4 linked regions of the Xenopus tropicalis genome follow. The protein of the gene in region 1 interacts with the protein of each later gene in a biochemical or structural test. Links are inferred from orthologs where the notes say so. Each region holds a gene or a part of one and is shown in the gene's direction. Other genes may lie near its edges. The genes, in order: grip1, carm1, pparg and thra.

The links.
Region 2: the proteins of grip1 (region 1) and carm1 form a complex in vitro, tested with the Homo sapiens proteins (2 studies listed by BioGRID). The link is inferred for Xenopus tropicalis from reciprocal best matches to the Homo sapiens genes GRIP1 and CARM1.
Region 3: the proteins of grip1 (region 1) and pparg form a complex in vitro, tested with the Homo sapiens proteins (2 studies listed by BioGRID). The link is inferred for Xenopus tropicalis from reciprocal best matches to the Homo sapiens genes GRIP1 and PPARG.
Region 4: the proteins of grip1 (region 1) and thra form a complex in vitro, tested with the Homo sapiens proteins (2 studies listed by BioGRID). The link is inferred for Xenopus tropicalis from reciprocal best matches to the Homo sapiens genes GRIP1 and THRA.

Annotation. Positions count from the first base shown.
Region 1 is NC_030679.2:58,085,010-58,088,940, reverse strand, and holds part of grip1 (glutamate receptor-interacting protein 1), read left to right. Parts: intron 1-233; coding exon 234-467; intron 468-2,558; coding exon 2,559-2,705; intron 2,706-3,931. UniProt on the Homo sapiens protein: May play a role as a localized scaffold for the assembly of a multiprotein signaling complex and as mediator of the trafficking of its binding partners at specific subcellular location in neurons.
Region 2 is NC_030679.2:138,870,152-138,875,391, forward strand, and holds the end of carm1 (histone-arginine methyltransferase CARM1), read left to right. Parts: intron 1-5; coding exon 6-87; intron 88-175; coding exon 176-261; intron 262-338; coding exon 339-428; intron 429-543; coding exon 544-681; intron 682-759; coding exon 760-849; intron 850-938; coding exon 939-1,051; intron 1,052-1,808; coding exon 1,809-1,961; intron 1,962-2,642; coding exon 2,643-2,711; intron 2,712-2,792; coding exon 2,793-2,929; 3' UTR 2,930-4,397; downstream 4,398-5,240. UniProt on the Homo sapiens protein: Methylates (mono- and asymmetric dimethylation) the guanidino nitrogens of arginyl residues in several proteins involved in DNA packaging, transcription regulation, pre-mRNA splicing, and mRNA stability.
Region 3 is NC_030680.2:153,299,202-153,304,932, forward strand, and holds the start of pparg (peroxisome proliferator-activated receptor gamma), read left to right. Parts: upstream 1-2,085; 5' UTR 2,086-2,651; intron 2,652-5,731. UniProt on the Homo sapiens protein: Nuclear receptor that binds peroxisome proliferators such as hypolipidemic drugs and fatty acids.
Region 4 is NC_030686.2:9,067,603-9,072,842, reverse strand, and holds part of thra (thyroid hormone receptor alpha), read left to right. Parts: intron 1-2,529; coding exon 2,530-2,676; intron 2,677-4,140; coding exon 4,141-4,399; intron 4,400-4,573; coding exon 4,574-4,824; 3' UTR 4,825-5,240.

The DNA of each region.
Region 1 (3,931 bases):
TGCCCATGTTATTGGTTCCCTAAGGGATTGCTGCCGTGTCCATCAGACCATGAATAGTAAAGTCAAGCGGTGGAGTCTACACAGAGCCTCCTAGCTGTATATTATACTACACAAAGTTGTGGTTTCATTAATGGAAGTGCAAACAAGTCTGCTTTCCTTGCATTGTCATTTACAAATTTTCTAGCTGTCAGTTGATAAAGCGAGGGCTTAATCAGGACCTTATTTTGCTGCAGGCGACAATCATGTCAGGAAGCACACTGAGCTTGAATCATGAGAACTCCCAGCCTCGTGGGCAGCTAGGGCGACAAGCAAGTTTCCAAGAAAAAAGCTCCGGCAGGCCGCATTACAGCCAATCCATACGCAGCAACACACTGCCATCTGATGTAGGAAGGAAATCGGTTTCCATGAGAAAAATTAAACAAGAAATAAAAGACATCATGTCACCAACTCCTGTGGAGTTACACAAGGCAAGTACAAAAAGTTTTTTTATAAGCAGATACTGGATTTATGTATATAGTTCATTTGAAATAGAATTCCTCATCATTGTGCCACTTGGCCACATGCACACAGTTTGCAGCATGAACTGATATCTAACCAAGTAGGGCGATGTCCAGTTTGGCCACACGTGTGCCTTTTATGCATTTACCTGTTTTTTTAGTATTGGTCAAAAACCAGATTGCCATCGAGACCCAAGAAGGCCAATAACCTCATACAATTGAATTGCCAGGATTGGCTGAAAGGACATTTTCATAATTATTTAGAGCTCAAAACAGACGATGGCCCAATTTACATTTACAATTGTACTTACGATCAAACTTACAATTGTTGTATGATATAAGAACCTAACAAATGACCTGGGAAGCCATTCTCAAACTGAAATATTTTAACATGTGGTGGTGCCCTGGTAAAACACACTATTGGTTTCCCCTACAGATTTGATTTACTCACAAATACAAGTGATGTACATGTATGCCAATGGCTGCAAATTGCAACAAGCACACACAATTAATCTTTGCTATTTCAGCCCAAGTTTGTACCCATCAAGTCATTGGAAATTGTGGAAATAGCAGCAACGTAGCAAACAATGAAATCCAAAACTCTCTATCTTTTGCTAAAAACAAATCATCTATATATCACTTATTGTGATTAGTTGGACCAGCGAGTCACATTCAAATGTAAAAAGTGTTGGAGAGTCACACAAGCAAAAAAACATTTTCTAGGGGCAGTGATTGGCTATTTAGTAGTCACATATAAACTGCTAGGCTACTGGGGCCTGATTTTGGCAGTGTACTTGTGTCTTTATGCCTCCAAAATATGTCTCCAAGCCCAGAATTCAAAAATGAGCACCTGCACAAGCCACTTGTTTAGCATCACTGAGTTAGACCAACCTAATGGGGAAGATTTTATTAACATTCTGATTTTGGTTTTAGAGGTTTTTGAATGTCTAGTCATATCCAAATTGAAAGAGCATGATTGAATTAAAATGCAGAATGAAAAGAACACAAAAACAACAAATTTGTTGTGGTTTTTATGTTTTTCCATGAAACGTGGTGGACCAAACGGAAATGAACATTGAAACCTCTAAAACCACAAATTAAATAATTATGTTTTGTATTTGTGTTTTTTGTGTCGTGCAGTTGAGCAGTCCTGTAGCTGCAAAATCTGTAAAAGGAAACAACTTAACAATATAACAAAACAACAATTATAACAAAAGCAAAAACACTAATTTATGTAGTTAAAATTATGGCCCAAGAGAGCTAGACCCTGCTGGTAAAGAAAGTTCTAGATCCTGTGGGCAAAGATGGAGTGAGCTGAAAGACCTAGATCCTGGGGTTGGGGGTAACGATTGGGGTAACCAGAGAGCTGCACCCTGGAAGTAGGGATGTAAAATGCATGGAGAGCTAGATCCTGGAGGCAAAGGTATAGGAAAGCAGAAAGAGAGGGCAAAATCCTAGAAATAAGTAGAAATAGAATGTATGTAGCCAGCGCATTTTAGTTTCTGGCAGCAGAGATGGGTTAAATGAATAGTTCAGTGTAAAAATGAAACTGAGTAAAATAGATAGACTGCGCCAAATTAAAATTGTTTTCAATAGAGTTAGTTAGGCAAAACTGTAATCTATAAAGGCTGGAGTGAGCAGGTGTCTAACATAATGGCCAGAACACTACTTCCTCCTTTACTGCTGTTAGCAGTCAGTATCAATCAGTGACTTAAGGGGGGGGGCACATGGGACATAACTTCAGTTAGTTTGTTTAAGCCAAGAGAAGGAGAATCATGCAGATACAGAAACTAAACAGAGAGACTTGTAAAGCAGAGCCCAGAATTGTTAAAGGGACAATGTTTTTCTAGAGTCACCTATTCCCCAAGGTGCCCACTGGGTATATATATATATATATAAGAAAGGAAAAGTAACCAGATAGTTGTAAGAATAGTGCTGTTGGGTTTCATTAATTAATAATTACCCCCTCCCCTTATATTAGAGGCATCATATCATGTACATTTATTTACACAACTGTAATGCACACTCTTTAGTTACAAACCTAATCTGTATTTATTGCAGGTCTCTTTATTTAAGGATTCGGATAGGGAAGACTTTGGTTTTAGTGTTGCCGATGGCTTACTGGAGAAAGGAGTCTATGTGAAAAATATACGTCCTAATGGGCCAGGGGATATTGCGGGGCTAAAGCCATATGATCGTCTCTTGCAGGTGAGCCATATGTACGGATACGTTTCTCTCTGGTACTACTAATTAGCTGGCACAATGACTTGGATACATATTCTTCATTGGACCCAATGCTCTTTAAGGGCTCCTACACATGCAGCATGTGTCATCTAAAAAAAAATCACACACAATGAAAGCCATAAAATGCAACTCTGAACCCTCAGGAGTGCAACCAGGCAAAATATAATGGAATCACTTAGGTGCGCTCAAACCTATGTGTCAAACACATAAACACAAGGCCTGTGTGTAAGAGCCCTCAAAGGAGAAGGAAAGGCAAAGTCACTGGGGGGTGCCAAAATTTTAGGCACCCCCCAGTGAATTTAATAACTTACCTTTTACCCTGGGCTGGTGCCCCTGTGAGAAGAAACCAGCACCAGCCTGGGGTACCTGTGAGTGAGTGTCTCCTCTTCCTTCTTCTGTCTTTGCGCACTTGCACAGTAGAGTGAAAAGGTGAATATTAACAAAAAAAAGCCATCTTCTACACTCTACTGCACATGTGCCAGCCCCGAGATTCAGAAGGAAGAGGAAACACTCGCTTGCAGCTACCCCTGGGCTGGTGTGGTTTCTCCTAACAGGGGCACCAACCCGGGCCGGGGTATAAGGTAAGTGATTACAATCACTGGGGGTGCCCAACGTTTGGAACCCCCCAATGGTTTAGCCTTTCCTTCTCCTTTAAAAAGAAATGAAGGGGCGTTTACATAACTTCATACAGTTTTGAGCTAAAATTTCCATATACTACACAGACTCTCTCACATTAGTACAAGAAAATCCAATCCAAATATCAAGCATTGAAGTAGGTGGGATAGAATTCTAGGGACATAGGAATGGTGGAAGACAGTGATTTTTAAGAAGTGGTATTTTGTACATTAATGGAGTTGTTCACCTTTAATTTAAAATTTAGTATGATGTAGAGAGCAATATTCTAAGAAAATAATAATTCAACAAACACAAATTAAATAAAAATAAATAAAAAATGCTTTTCTAGGGTCCACATTAAACTAGGGACTAGGCAGTGGTTTGAATGAGAGACTGGAGTATAAATAGGAGAGGCCTGAATAGAATTAAAAGTAATAATAAAATTGTAGCCTCACAGAGCAATAGTTTTGTTTGGCTGAAGGGTCAGTGCCCCCCATTTGAAAACTGAAAAGAGTCAGAAGAGGTAAATAAAAAAAAACAAACAAACCTATAAAACATGTAGACAAGCTTAAAAG
Region 2 (5,240 bases), about 81 Mb from region 1:
CCCAGGTACCAGCCATCGTTTCATGGAGTGGATCTCTCAGCTCTGCGCGGGGCAGCGGTGGACGAGTATTTCAAGCAGCCAGTCGTGGTAGGTCCCAGGGCCGGGGTGTGTCTCTCGTGTGAGCGCTGCCCTACTGTCTCTCGCTGGTATAAACCTTCTCCCCACCCTCTCACAGGACACCTTCGATATCCGGATCCTCATGGCCAAATCAGTCAAGTACACAGTGAATTTCCTTGATGCCAAAGAGGCCGATCTGCACAGGTAGGGGGCGGAGCTGGCAGGGTGCTTGCCATTGATTGGCTGATACAAGTGCTGACCAACTTCTCTTCCCTGCGCAGGATAGAGATCCCTTTCTCCTTCCACATGCTGCACTCCGGCTTGGTGCACGGTTTAGCTTTCTGGTTTGACGTGGCCTTTATCGGATCCATGTGAGTGTCAGGGGGTCCTGTTGAGGGAGCCCCCCCCCCCCCCCATAATCCCACAGTGCAAGGGTCCGGGCTTTGCCTGCCCGACGTCACATCTTCTCCCTTTTTCATCTCATAGAATGACCGTCTGGCTGTCGACAGCCCCGACCGAGCCTCTCACTCACTGGTACCAGGTCCGCTGTCTCTTACAGTCGCCGTTATTCACCAAAGCCGGGGACACCTTGACCGGCACCGCGCTGCTCATTGCCAACAAGAGGTAGGAGCGAGCTGCTCTCCTGATTGGTTCTCCTGCACTTTCAGCTTTACCTTCCCCTCACCATTGTGTCTCTTGCAGGCAGAGTTATGATATCAGTATTGTTGCTCAGGTGGATCAGACTGGGTCCAAGTCAAGTAACCTGCTGGATCTGAAGAACCCCTTCTTCAGGTAGGTGCCCTTCTCCCTTCCTGGCACAGCTCAGGCTGGACCTACTCTACATCGCCCCCCACAGCCCACACGGGGTATGTCTCTTTCAGGTACACGGGCTCCACGCCGTCTCCTCCCCCCGGCTCCCACTATTCCTCCCCTTCAGAGAACATGTGGAATACGTCAGGGGCATACTCAATGAACACAGGAATGGGCATGGGAGGTAAGTGGGGTGCAGCTTCTGCTCTTCTGGGGTGCACCCCGGGGTATGAGAATGAGGTGGCCAATCAGCCTGCTCTTCTGCGGATTGTGACCGACAGATCTTCCCATTAGTGGTTGGGATATTGGGGATTTCACAGAGATGACTTATGATGGGACAGAAACCCATAGCAACCAATCAGAAATTTTCTCTAATTGGGGATTTGCAGTATTGTTACCAATTCGGCTGGTAAGACAAGGCCACACTCCTGCCATAGTGTCGGCCAATCGGTCGTATCCGTTCCATTCCACCATCCATGAGTGGCACCTTTGAGTGGGATCCTTTGGAAATCTGGCTATGTAAAAATCTAAATTCTTATTGGTTGCTATGGGTTTCCACTTATATATAGACCTGTATTGTGAATTTCTCCTGTGTGTTAACCCCTCGGTCACTCTTGAGCCAAATGAGCTCTGGGTGAAACATTAGATGAAGAGTAAAGCTGGGCGTAGGTGGGATGACTTGGCAGCTGAAGGGTCCCTGTATAGGGCTAAAACAAAGGCCCCCCTGAGTGCTATGTGAATAGGCCTCGGTCTGCTATTGGGTGGAATGACTGGAATAAACCATTAGATGAGGGGGCCCTATCACGCTTTTAATGTAGTTAGGGACCCATGGATCTACGTGGTAGTTTGGCCCGGGGGGGGTGGGGGTGGAAGCGGGGTTTAATGAAATCATGAATGGACTTATTCCTCATTACAATGTGCTTGTGCTTGCCTCCCTGCAGGAATGCCCAACGCCTATGATCTCAGCAGTGTTATAGCTGGAAGCTCAGGCATCAGCCACAGTAACCTCATCCCTCTAGGTGAGCAGCCTGCAGTGTCCTGCCCTCCCGCGCCGCTGCACCCGGAGCCCCAAGACCTGACACTCGGATCCTCCAGTAATACCATAAGCTCGTGTTTCCTTCAAAACCAAACCCACTGGGTTTGCTAACCAATCACACCTTTTGCCAGGGATTCACTAACCAACCTCCTTAACTGTCATGTATGTAAAGTGCAAGCTTTGTGCCAAGGGGGTAGCGTGTGTGTCTGGGACACGGGCTCTGTGCCACTGCCCTGTGTATCACGGGCTTTTAGCTCTAACTCACTCAGTGGCACTTACCCTTTAATCCATTCCATTCTTCATACCATTCCTTTTTTTATTATTTCACCCCTAAAGGGATTTCTCGCGCCAAGTCCCGTTTGGGGAATGCTTCGCCATTTATTGTATTATTATTGGCTTAGGCTGCGGCCACACTGGTTGTAACGCCTGCTGGCACAGTCGCCTCAGTCCTTTGGCTGAATTGGCCAATTACCATCAAGCGCTTTCAGTAAAAGCCAGTGGCAGCTTAGGTTGTCCTTTAATTCTCTATAGGAGCACAGATAAAGGGAAATCCCAGTTGCTCTCGTGAGCCAGACTGCCCTCTAGGAAGACTCCAGTAGGGCTCCCCCCGCAGGGCATGCTGGGAATGGGGGGGGCCAGTGCTTGTACTAATTCAGCTTCAAACCTCATATTTCCGTTTCTTTCCATGAATCTATTCCGTATATTGTGTGTGGCTGAACCCTCCTGTGTTCCCTTCCAGCAAACACGGGGATTGTCAATCACACTCACTCCAGGATGGGATCCATCATGAGCACGGGGATAGTGCAAGGTGAGCCGGCCCTCTGACTGTATGGGGGGGGTATATAATACAGCGAGTGGTATTTATGGGCTTCTCTTTATTCTATTGTAGGATCCGCGGGGGGCCAGGCCGCCTCCAACACCACCAGCCACTACCCTGTCAACAACCAGTTCACCATGGGAGGCCCCGCTATCTCCATGGCTTCTCCCATGTCTATCACCACCAACACAATGCATTATGGGAGTTAAAGCTTGCTCAGTCTCACCTTCCTCCCTGCTCCCTTGTCCTCCTCAAACTGACAGCATCAGGATACCAAATGATCGCAGAGCAACCTCTCTGCCCTTCCTTCCCCTCCTCCCCCTCGGCCAAAACTGCCGACACCTTTGCCCCCCCCCCTCACCTCCACACCTGCCCCCTCCTCTTCTGCCTGAGCAAATCCTCTTGCTTTCTCAATATGGACTTGTACATTTTTTAATGAAATATAGTACCCCACCCCCTCACTTTATGGAAAAAAAAAGGAACAAAAATAGCAAATTGAGGGGGCGGGGTTTAATCTTGACGCTTGTACGTTACGGAGAAATTTAAACCAATCATGTGTTGCTTCTCAAACTGCCGCGCCTAGCACGTGGGGCCTCCTCCCTCTGTGCCGCCTTAGAGCCATTGCTGTGAATTAGTATCATGGTTGCCTATTGGGAAAAGACAGGCTTGAAGGTTGTTGTTGTGGGGGGGGGGGGGGGGGGGTTATAGGGCAAGGAGAGGGAGCCGGCCCTTTAAGCAGTGGGCACCATTGCAGGAATAGGGTGATCCCGACTCTCCGGTTGTTTCACCGGTTCCGACTCATGACCAACGCTTCTTTATATATTTTCTTCTTTTTGGAAGGCGACAGAATGAATTGCTGCAATGAAGTCGTTAGAATTAGCTGGAAGCCAACCCTGCGCTACTTTCATTGTGTCACGAAACACTAACTATTCTGGGGTAGATGAAATAAGCCGTTGGTCCAACCCCCCCTGCCCGCCCCGGGGTAACAGAGACTCTCTCTGCCCCGTACGGGAGCGACAGTCATGTGGTCGGTGTTGTACGAAGGGTTAGGATGATTGTTTATTAAAGCCAAAACCCCTATTGAAATGTGAATTTGCTTTATCCCCCCCCCCCCCCGTCCCTCTACTTGGACTGTGTCCGACTTTCCGTGCAACAGGTTCCGTTATTTTGGCCTTTTCCTTCTTCCTACCTCTGCCCTCGCCGCGACGTTGTTAGCGCATGGTCGGAATGCATCGAGATGGCCCAAGTGTCCGTCCTTTTTAGCGTTTTTCTTTCTTCTATAAAAATTGCTTGTCGCCCCCCCCCCTCCCTCCTGCTTAGACCCCCATAGTATAGCCTTGTGCCTGTAAACTAGCCTTGTCCCCCTGAAGCCCCGCCCCCTGCTGCTTAGTGTCTACTCATTTGCTACTTTTTAGTATTTTATTTCTCTTTTTTCCAGGGAATTTGTCGTCTCGCAGGATCCCTCGTTATTTGTACTCTGTCCGTTTATTATTATTTGTGTCTCGTCTGTCCCGCGTGGGGCGGCAGATTGTAGTTGTAAGATGGGTTTTCAGAGTTGGTTGGTTGGTGGGGGTGGGGGGGGGGCTGGGACGTCTCAGGACGAATAGGAAACCGTTTCTAACACAACTGCTGTTCTCCCCTTTGCCTGTAGTGTTCAATAAAGTTGGGAGGGATTTTTTTTGGAAAAAAGTCTGATTTTGTTTCTCTGTCGTCGGGTAAAATTGCGCTTGTCATAAAGGGGAAATTACTATGTTATAGATGACCTATCCCAAGCAGCTTAATTGATCGTCATCTGTGATTGTTAATGGTCCTGGCAGACGACTGAAAATACTTGTTCTTGGGGGTCTCAGACCCCCCCCCTCCCTGGTAAAGCAGTAAGGATCTTAGCCATGTTATCGCCTACTGTAACAGAGGCTTTATCTACCTCTGAGCTCCTCCAATCAGATTGGCTCTGTGTGAGAACATCAACCATTAGCCTGAAATGAGCAGACATCAGCAAGTTAGTGGCCATGCTTTTGCTGCATAGGTCAGTTTTTGACCAGGGCAGCTCTCTAACTCCATCAGGGCCAGCCTCGACGGTACGCAATTCAGAAATGTTCCTGGAAGAACCCACTGTGAGCCGCACCCCCAGGAAACTGAGCCGGAGGGGCTGAGATACCCAATCCCCATGGCCCTACCCAATCCCATGGTATATTTTTATACCAGTCTCTCTACACTAGGCAGCTGGAGGCTTTTCCCAATCAATTACACAGAGGTTAAGACCTAAGGCATAAAAATATCCCATGGGATTGGGTAGGGCCAAACACACTTTATTTACAGGGGTCAATTTCTTCTATGACAGAATTATGAAAGACATTAAAGGAGAAGTAAAAACTCAGTGAGCTTTATCACAAAGGTCTATGTAAATACAGCCATAAGCACTCGCAGAAATGCTAGAAAATCCTCTGTCAAAATATTTGTTGTGTCTAATTCCCGTGCCAGAGACAAGCAGCTCTCTCCTGCTCCCCCCTCCCTCAAGAA
Region 3 (5,731 bases), on another chromosome or scaffold:
ATAATACCAGTATAGGTGCCAGTCAGTATAATACCAGTATAGGTGCCAGTCGGTATAATACCAGTATAGGTGCCAGTCAGTATAATACCAGTATAGGTGCCAGTCGGTATAATACCAGTATAGGTGCCAGTCGGTATAATACCAGTATAGATGCCAGTCGGTATAATACCAGTATAGGTGCCAGCCGGTATAATACCAGTATAGGTGCCAGTCAGTATAATACCAGTATAGGTGCCAGTTGGTATAATACCAGTATAGGTGCCAGTCGGTATAATACCAGTATAGGTGCCAGTCGGTATAATACCAGTATAGGTGCCAGTCGGTATAATACCAGTATAGGTGCCAGTCAGTAAATACCAGTATAGGTGCCAGTCAGTATAATACCAGTATAGGTGCCAGTCGGTATAATACCAGTATAGGTGCCAGTCAGTAAATACCAGTATAGGTGCCAGTCAGTATAATACCAGTATAGGTGCCAGTCGATATAATACCAGTATAGGTGCCAGTCAGTAAATACCAGTCAGTATAATACCAGTATAGGTGCCAGTCAGTAAATACCAGTCAGTATAATACCAGTATAGGTGCCAGTCAGTATAATACCAGTATAGGTGCCAGTCAGTATAATACCAGTATAGGTGCCAGTCGGTATAATACCAGTATAGGTGCCAGTCGGTATACCAGTATAGGTGCCAGTCAGTATAATACCAGTATAGGTGCCAGTCAGTATAATACCAGTATAGGTGCCAGTCGATATAATACCAGTATAGGTGCCAGTCAGTAAATACCAGTCAGTATAATACCAGTATAGGTGCCAGTCAGTAAATACCAGTCAGTATAATACCAGTATAGGTGCCAGTCGGTATAATACCAGTATAGGTGCCAGTCAGTATAATACCAGTATAGGTGCCAGTCGATATAATACCAGTATAGGTGCCAGTCAGTAAATACCAGTCAGTATAATACCAGTATAGGTGCCAGTCAGTAAATACCAGTATAGGTGCCAGTCAGTATAATACCAGTATAGGTGCCAGTCGATATAATACCAGTATAGGTGCCAGTCAGTAAATACCAGTCAGTATAATACCAGTATAGGTGCCAGTCAGTAAATACCAGTCAGTATAATACCAGTATAGGTGCCAGTCGGTATAATACCAGTATAGGTGCCAGTCAGTATAATACCAGTATAGGTGCCAGTCAGTAAATACCAGTCAGTATAATACCAGTATAGGTGTCAGTCAGTAAATACCAGTCAGTATAATACCAGTATAGGTGCCAGTCAGTATAATACCAGTATAGGTGCCAGTCAGTATAATACCAGTATAGGTGCCAGTCGGTATAATACCAGTATAGGTGCCAGTCGGTATACCAGTATAGGTGCCAGTCAGTATAATACCAGTATAGGTGCCAGTCAGTATAATACCAGTATAGGTGCCAGTCGGTATAATACCAGTATAGGTGCCAGTCGGTATAATACCAGTATAGGTGCCAGTCAGTATAATACCAGTATAGGTGCCAGTCGGTATAATACCAGTATAGGTGCCAGTCGGTATAATACCAGTATAGGTGCCAGTCAGTATAATACCAGTATAGGTGCCAGTCGGTATAATACCAGTATAGGTGCCAGTCGGTATAATACCAGTATAGGTGCCAGTCAGTATAATACCAGTATAGGTGCCAGTCAGTATAATACCAGTATAGGTGCCAGTCAGTATAATACCAGTATAGGTGCCAGTCAGTACCAGTCTCACTGTTCCTATTGGATCCCAATAAAGTATCAGCAGGAAGATTCCAGTCGCTCCAATTGAGAATGAGCGAGTGAAGCGCAGTACTAGAAGTGGCCGGTAGGTGGGGCGCCTGAATCACGGTCCCATTCAGTGGGCAATAGACAATAAAGCAGTTCCAATGAGGGGTGTCGGGGCTCAGTAGATGGGGGGCAGCACTATGGGGGATACGGGTGGGAGACTGGGAGTGAGGAGCTGAGGAGCCAGAGGAGATCTGGGCAGGAGAAGAGCAGAGACAGTGGGAGGAGCCAAGGGAGGCAGAGGGGCGTGACCGAGTGAGTGAGAGTAAGAGACAGTGAGAGAAGTGAGACAGAGCGATCTGAGCTCTAAACGAGTAGTAACAGCGGCACCAACTACTCCCTGCAACTAACTACTCCCTGCAACTAACTACTCCCTGCAACACCAACTACTCCCTGCAACACCAACTACTCCCTGCAACACCAACTACTCCCTGCAGAACCAACTACTCCCTGCAGAACCAACTACTCCCTGCAACTAACTACTCCCTGCAGAACCAACTACTCCCTGCAGAACCAACTACTCCCTGCAACTACTCCCTGCAACTACTCCCTGCAACTACTCCCTGCAGAACCGACACAGTGACTGCTTTTTACTCTGGTCCAGAGACTGCACAAACCCCCGGAGACTGCACAAACCCCCGGAGACTGCACAAACCCCCGGAGACTGCTCCCAGGACAGGGCTGGCACTTGGGCACCACTGGCATTGCGGCCCCGCAGGATAATTGTGTCCCTGACTGGATCCGCCTCCCGGCAGAGCTGGCACATGGCAGACTGAGCACCTTGGGATCATAACTACCAGAGGGCACTTTGTGACAGTCCGGGGGAGGAGTCGGGGGATCGGGGAGTCAGGTGAGTCGGGAGACCGCTCTCTCTCTCTGGTTCAGACCTTAAGCCATTGTAGCCTGCAGCGGCTTGGGATGGGGTGCGTTTGTATTGGGGTGCTGCTAGGTCTCAGCCACACTCTATTGTATTTGTATCAATGTTATAACAAGTTTCAGTATTGGGGTATCAGAGTGATACTACTGGGGTGTCAGTGATAGTATTGGGGTGTCATTGTGATACTACTGGGGTATCAGTGTGATACTAATGGGGTGCCAGTGTGATAGTATCAGGGTGTCAGTGTGATAGTATTGGGGTGCCAGTGTGATAGTATTGGGGTGCCAGTGTGATAGTATCAGGGTGTCAGTGTGATAGTATTGGGGTGTCATTGTGATACTATGGGAGTGTGTGATGTAGTTTTGCTGTTGGTGGAATTAGTACTGGGGTGTCAGTGTGACAGTATTGGGGTATCAGGGTGATACAGTTGTGGTACCATAGGATAGTATTGGGGTGTGACATACAGGGGTACTGGTCAATAAGGATGTGGTGCTGTTGGGGCGCTGGCTAATATAGTTGTGTTGGTATTAGGGGATCAGTATTAGGAGGCTAATGGACATGTTGGGGTTCTGATGGATATCTGGGTACAGTATTGGGGTAATGGCTGATATAGCTGTATTGCTGCTGGTAGATCTGGGTGCTGGGGTGCTGCTGGGTGCTGCTGGGTGCAGATAGCATACAGTATAAGGTTGGTCCCGGGGGCGTACAGCGGGGGTACAGATTAATATGGGGTATCAATATGGGGTACTGATTGATACAGAGGTGCAGTTTCGGGGGGTGATATGGGCTGCAGAGTGTTCTACTGAGGGGGCCAGTTCCCCGGTCTATCGATTGCAGGAGCTGCCATTGTGCTGTTGCTCTGTATGATTCCTGGGGGGAATGTGGCACAGCGAGGGCAGGGCAGGGGCAGATACTGGCAAATGACTGGCGGCAGAGTGCCCACTGTGCCCTGTAGCTTTCATACCCACCTCTGAGGGGCAATTGCCAATAATGCACCCAATGTTGTGCAGTTTCTGCCCCCAGGGCCAGACAGAAGGAACAGACTGGTGGAATTAACTGGTTCCTGGAAAGCACTTGCCCTGAAGGTGCCAATACACTTCCCGTGTGGGTGCTGGGAGTTTGTGTGTGGGTGCTGGGAGTTTGTGTGTGGGTGCAGGGAGTTTGTGTGTGGGTGCTGGGAGTTTGTGTGTGGGTGCAGGGAGATTGTGTGTGCAGGGAGATTGTGTGTGGGTGCTGGGAGTTTTTGTGGGTGCTGGGAGTTTGTGTGTGTGTGTGTGGGTGCAGGGAGATTGTGTGTGGGTGCAGGGAGATTGTGTGTGGGTGCAGGGAGATTGTGTGTGGGTGCAGGGAGTTTTGTGTGTGGGTGCAGGGAGTTTGTGTGTGGGTGCTGGGAGTTTGTGTGTGGGTGCAGGGAGTTTGTGTGTGGGTGCAGGGAGATTGTGTGTGGGTGCAGGGAGTTTGTGTGTGGGTGCTGGGAGATTGTGTGTGGGTGCAGGGAGTTTGTGTGTGGGTGCAGGGAGTTTGTGTGTATGGGTGCAGGGAGTTTGTGTGTGGGTGCAGGGAGTTTGTGTGTATGGGTGCAGGGAGTTTGTGTGTGGGTGCAGGGAGTTTGTGTGTGGGTGCAGGGAGTTTGTGTGTATGGGTGCAGGGAGTTTGTGTGTGGGTGCAGGGAGTTTGTGTGTATGGGTGCAGGGAGTTTGTGTGTGGGTGCTGGGATCAATGCAAGTTCATAGCTGTGACTGTTGTGGTCAATAGTGTGAAATGCCCCAAAGCAGTCTCTAGTGGGGGTTGTTTGTTTGTCCTTAGACACCCAGAGCCTCCCTCTCAGTAGGACAAGATGGAGACAGTAGGGCAAGATGGAGACAGTAGGGCAAGATGGGGAAAGTAGGGCAAGATGGGGACAGTAGGGCACGATGGAGACAGTAGGGCAAGATGGGGACAGTAGGACAAGATGGAGACAGTAGGGCAAGATGGGGACAGTAGGGCAAGATGGGGAAAGTAGGGCAAGATGGGGACAGTAGGGCACGATGGAGACAGTAGGGCAAGATGGGGACAGTAGGACAAGATGGAGACAGTAGGGCAAGATGGGGACAGTAGGGCACGATGGAGACAGTAGGACAAGAAGGAGACAGTAGGGCAAGATGGAGACAGTAGGGCAAGATGGAGACAGTAGGGCAAGATGGGGACAGTAGGGCAAGATGGAGACAGTAGGGCAAGATGGAGACAGTAGGGCAAGATAGGGACAGTAGGGCAAGATGGAGACAGTAGGGCAAGATGGGGACAGTAGGGCAAGATGGAGACAGTAGGGCAAGATGGAGACAGTAGGACAAGATGGAGACAGTAGGGCAAGATGGGGACAGTAGGGCACGATGGAGACAGTAGGGCAAGATGGAGACAGTAGGGCAAGAAGGAGACAGTAGGGCAAGATGGAGACAGTAGGGCAAGATGGAGACAGTAGGCCAAGATGGAGACAGTAGGGCAAGATGGAGACAGTAGGGCAAGATGGAGACAGTAGGGCAAGATGGAGACAGTAGGGCAAGATGGAGACAGTAGGGCAAGATGGGGACAGTAGGGCAAGATGGAGACAGTAGGGCAAGATGGGGACAGTAGGACAAGATGGAGACAGTAGGGCAAGATGGAGACAGTAGGGCAAGATGGGGACAGTAGGGCAAGATGGAGACAGTAGGGCAAGATGGGGACAGTAGGGCAAGATGGAGACAGTAGGGCAAGATGGAGACGGTAGGGCAAGATGGAGACGGTAGGGCAAGATGGAGACGGTAGGACAAGATGGGGACGGTAGGGCAAGATGGAGACGGTAGGGCAAGATGGAGACGGTAGGGCAAGATGGAGACGGTAGGGCAAGATGGAGACGGTAGGGCAAGATGGAGACGGTAGGGCAAGATGGAGACGGTAGGGCAAGATGGAGACAGTAAGGGCAAGATGGAGACAGTAGGGCAAGATGGAGACAGTAGGGCAAGATGGAGACAGTAGGGCAAGATGGAGACAGTAAGGGCAAGATGGAGACAGTAGGGCAAGATGGAGACAGTAGGGCA
Region 4 (5,240 bases), on another chromosome or scaffold:
GTACCCATGCTTCAGTGCTCATCAGTAAATCAGTACACCCATGCCCTGGTGTTTAGTAGTCTGTTTTGGTACTTAGCGGTGTAGCACCCAAGCTTTAGTGTTTAGTAGTACATTTCTAATGCTCATTCCTTGGCACTTAGCATTCCATTAGGGTGGCCCTCCCTCAGTGCTTAGCAGTAGATTACTGGTACCTATTCCTCAGTTTATAGCAGCCTGCCCTGGTAGCCAAGCCTCAGTGCTTATTATTCCATTTTGATACTTAGCAGTCGGGTACCCATGCTTTAGTGCTTAGAAGTACATTTATAAAACCTATTCCTTGGCACTTAGCAGTCCGTTTTGTTACTCATCCCTCAGTTCTTAGCGGTTCCTATTCCTTGGTACATATTAGCACAATCTGGTACCCATCTCCCTCCCTGTGTATAGCCCTGCCTTCTATAACCTGCGCCTGTGTATAGCCCTGCCTTCTGTTACCTGTGCCTGTGTATAGCCCTGCCTTCTGTTACCTGCGCCTGTGTATAGCCCTGCCTTCTGTTACCTGTGCCTGTGTATAGCCCTGCTTTCTATAACCTGTGCCTGTGTATAGCCCTGCCTTCTATAACCTGTGCCTGTGTATAGCCCTGCCTTCTATAACCTGTGCCTGTGTATAGCCCTGCCTTCTGTTACCTGCGCCTGTGTATAGCCCTGCCTTCTGTTACCTGTGCCTGTGTATAGCCCTGCCTTCTATAACCTGCGCCTGTGTATAGCCCTGCCTTCTGTTACCTGTGCCTGTGTATAGCCCTGCCTTCTGTTACCTGTGCCTGTGTATAGCCCTGCCTTCTGTTACCTGTGCCTGTGTATAGCCCTGCCTTCTGTTACCTGTGCCTGTGTATAGCCCTGATTTCTGTTACCTGTGCCTGTGTATAGCCCTGCCTTCTGTTACCTGTGCCTGTGTATAGCCCTGCCTTCTGTTACCTGTGCCTGTGTATAGCCCTGATTTCTGTTACCTGTGCCTGTGTATAGCCCTGCCTTCTGTTACCTGTGCCTGTGTATAGCCCTGCCTTCTGTTACCTGTGCCTGTGTATAGCCCTGATTTCTGTTACCTGTGCCTGTGTATAGCCCTGATTTCTGTTACCTGTGCCTGTGTATAGCCCTGCCTTCTGTTACCTGTGCCTGTGTATAGCCCTGCCTTCTGTTACCTGTGCCTGTGTATAGCCCTGCCTGTTCTGTATGTCCCCCAGCATGTGCTGCCCCCCTGGTGCCTATGATGGTTCAGGTACAGGTGCCTCTCTATGTAGCAGTGCAGCCTGCACTTTCCCACTTAGCTCTATGTGCTGTTAATGGCGCCTCTCAGTACATTCTCCTAATTACCCTTCCCTATTCCCTGCATATATCAGCAGCAATGCATTCCCTCCCAATGCCTCAGTGGTTCTGACAGTACTACATAAATGGCTACCATGATATAATTACCTCTGTGCCGCTCTACATTATTTTGCCACTAGCACCCTCGTCTTTTTTTGTCCTTGATCTCCGCCAATTAGCGAGCCCCTTGTCCGCTGTGCGCTGTAAATAGCTGGAGAAATAACCTGGAAAATAAATTAATATAAAAATACAATCTGACATCTTTGCTAGTTTGTGTGCCTCGGTAAATGCGAAGATAAAGGCGTTTGTATATGTCCAGCCCCAGTGCATTCTGGTCCCCGGCTCTTCATACATTACTGGTATCTATGTGCTAAGCATTCTATGCTGATGCAGGGCTGTCTCTATGGATATGGATCTATATTTCAGGCTATGTCTGCATTGCATTCCCATCACATGGTGCATTAGTCCCGTTAGCCTCCTGTTGGAAGCAGTGCATGTTGGTAACTTTCTATGGGTGCAACATGTCGCTCATTGCCAGGCATCTACCATTATAGTTCTGTATTTTGGTACATTTTTGTGTATTTCGTATGCACCCTGTCCTGCTGATATTTGGCACCCTGTACCCGGGGCACTCATTTTCTTTCTGGGGGCTTTTAACCCTTTATCCTCCCACTTATGTGGCCACAGTATTGCAAGCGGGGCTCTGGGTGACGCAGCCATGTGTGCTTTGCCAGAGAGGGTTAGAAGCAACTGGGAGCAACCGCCTCTCTACTCTCCCCTCCCTTCCTAAGTTACCTCCCCCTGTGTCTCCCTCTCCTCCCCCTGTCACGTGGATTAGACACGCTTTCTATTCCACCGCCACCCATTATATCATATGTGGATTACCAACACCCTCTACTGGAACGTTTAAAGTTCTGCATACGTCTAAAGATAGGCAGATAGACAGACAGAGATAGAAGATAGATAGACAGATAGATGATAGATAGATAGATAGATAGATGATAGATAGATTGATTTGTTTAAAGTTCTGTGTTCACTCATATTCATTCTTTCTTTCTCCTTTGCTATCTTATAATTGGCTTCCATGCTCTCTGTCTCTCCCTCTGTACTGTCTCACCCAGTCTCCACTACTTCTTGAGTAGTTGCCTTCACCACCTCTCTCTCTCTCTCTGTGCCTTCTCCATGTTACAGCCGGAAGATATCGGGCAGTCTCCCATGGCTTCCATGCCAGATGGGGATAAAGTTGACTTGGAGGCTTTCAGTGAGTTCACCAAAATAATAACCCCAGCAATTACGAGAGTGGTGGACTTTGCTAAGAAGCTGCCCATGTTCTCTGAGGTGAGTGTGCGACACAGAAGAGCAAGTGACCGTATACATCACATAATATATAAGTACCTGTACCTAAATGTTCAGAATACGGATTGTATATGTCCCGCTTCCCACATATACAGTTTGAATATGGCTTTATTGATGGCATTTCCTTTTTTATACCTCACTGATCATGTTTGACCTTTTCATTTTCTCTTTTTCTTCAAGCATGAAATGCCTACCCCCCTTTGTACTGAATCTTCCTTACCGACCCCCCCCCCCCCTGCATGTTTCTCCTCACCCACCCTCTTTCCACCCCACCAGTGACATTTCTTTCCAGTTTATCCTTCCACTAAATGTTCTTCCCCAACCACTCTACCCCCCTCACTGAATGGCCCTCCCTCCCCACTCAGCCCTCCAGTGAATGTTCCACCTTACCCAGCTTTTCATTAAATGTTCCGCCCCAGATAGCCATCTATTATGTGTTCTTCCTCAACTGCCCTTTCATTAAATGTTCCATGCATTTACCCTTACAAGGAATGACCTCGCCATTCACATAGGTACATATTCCCACACACTATACACACACTGAATTTCTGTAACAAAGCCTCCATGTCCTACACACACCTACCCAATATACCTCTCACTTTTTCAATTTTCTTCATACAGTATAGGATCTATTATCCAAAAACCCGAAAGGCCCTGATTTCAGCATTCCCTTTGCCCACAGGATCCTTTTTAAGGACTATACCCTCAGAATGAATACTTAGCCAACAGATAGTGTGGCCCATTAAAGAATCTACCAAACTAGACTATATATCAGTAAATATTGCCCTTTTACATCCTTTCCCTTGAGCTGCCATTTTGTGCTGGTCTGTATACTCACTCAGAGATCACATACTACTAAAAAGTATATTTTCATGAAAATGGTTTATTTAGAGCTACTTTATGCAATATATATTTATAGAGACAAACATTGTTTGTGAGTATAGTTTTCCTTTACACTAACAATGCATTTTGACTCATTTGCCTTTTCTACATTGTACTTAATAACTAATAACTGGTCCTGTTTTCTAAATGTTAGTATGACATGGCATGCCATTGTAAAAGAAGGACCAGTAATCTGAAGAACACCAGGTCCAATGCATTCCGAATAATAGATCTCATACCTCTACCCAACCAGTTGGTCTCCCCTTTGCCACAGATACATATAATGTATAATTTTATTCCCCCCCTGACTCACTGCTCACCCAACCGGTGGGGGACAGCAGTTGGGGAACAGGTCTGGACTGGCAGGGCCCACTTGGTTTTCCCCAGTGGGCCCTGCCTTTACAATTACTTGGCGCACTCAGGAACCTTCATGCATTTCTGTGCTAAATTCCCCTTTTCTCCTTGTTATTAGAAAGGTCCCTTCCCCCTGCATCATGGTTCCTCCTGCTCCTTATAATCAGTGCCTTTCTTCTACATTCAAAAATATGTCCCCTGTCCCACCAGCTGCCTTGTGAAGATCAGATCATCCTGTTGAAAGGATGCTGTATGGAGATCATGTCTCTCCGTGCTGCTGTGCGCTACGATCCGGACAGCGAGACCCTAACGCTAAGCGGTGAGATGGCGGTAAAAAGGGAGCAGCTTAAGAACGGAGGTCTGGGTGTTGTCTCGGATGCCATCTTTGACCTTGGAAGATCGCTTGCTGCATTCAACCTTGACGACACGGAAGTGGCGCTGCTGCAGGCTGTTTTGCTCATGTCATCAGGTAATTTTAGGAGTGCGACATTGTATTTTTAGAGGTAAATATTTCATGTTTTCAAGTAGCATCTAACTTATACTGTTTCACTCTAAATAAAACAGGTATTAATGAATGTTGCAGGGCTGTATTGATTGCATTTTAGTTAGCAACTCTTTACTTTTTTTAAATTTAACTTTCCAGACCGTACTGGTTTAATGTGCACGGACAAGATAGAGAAATGTCAAGAGACCTACCTTCTCGCCTTTGAACACTACATCAACCATCGCAAACACAACATTCCCCACTTCTGGCCCAAGCTCCTAATGAAGGTGACGGACCTGCGCATGATAGGGGCATGCCATGCCAGCCGCTTTCTGCACATGAAGGTTGAGTGCCCCACTGAGCTCTTTCCACCGCTCTTCCTTGAGGTCTTTGAGGACCAGGAAGTCTGAGGGACAGTGCATGTTGGTAGAGAGGAAAGTGCATTTATCCCTTCTGTTCCTCCCTGCCTTGGTTGGCCATTATATCCTAAGAAGACAATATAGGAAAAGCCTGCTACAGCTAAAGGAACCTTTCATTGTGGTACATCAGGATAACGGAGATATGGAAGCTTGCCAGCTGTCATCTTGGTAAAGCCAATAAACCCAAGAACAGAAGCTGTTTGGCCCCAGACCTGACCCGATTAAAGGTTGGAGGCTGAGCGGCACGCAAGACGTCCAAGGAAAAGGCGCTTCTACCCTTTTTGTTGTTGTTGTTGTTCTTGTTGTTTCCTATGGCACCATTATGATACACCCGTGAATGGATGCTTGTTTATTCCAACATAGTCATCCCCAAGCCCCTCCGCCACCAAGAGCCCAAGTGGAACATG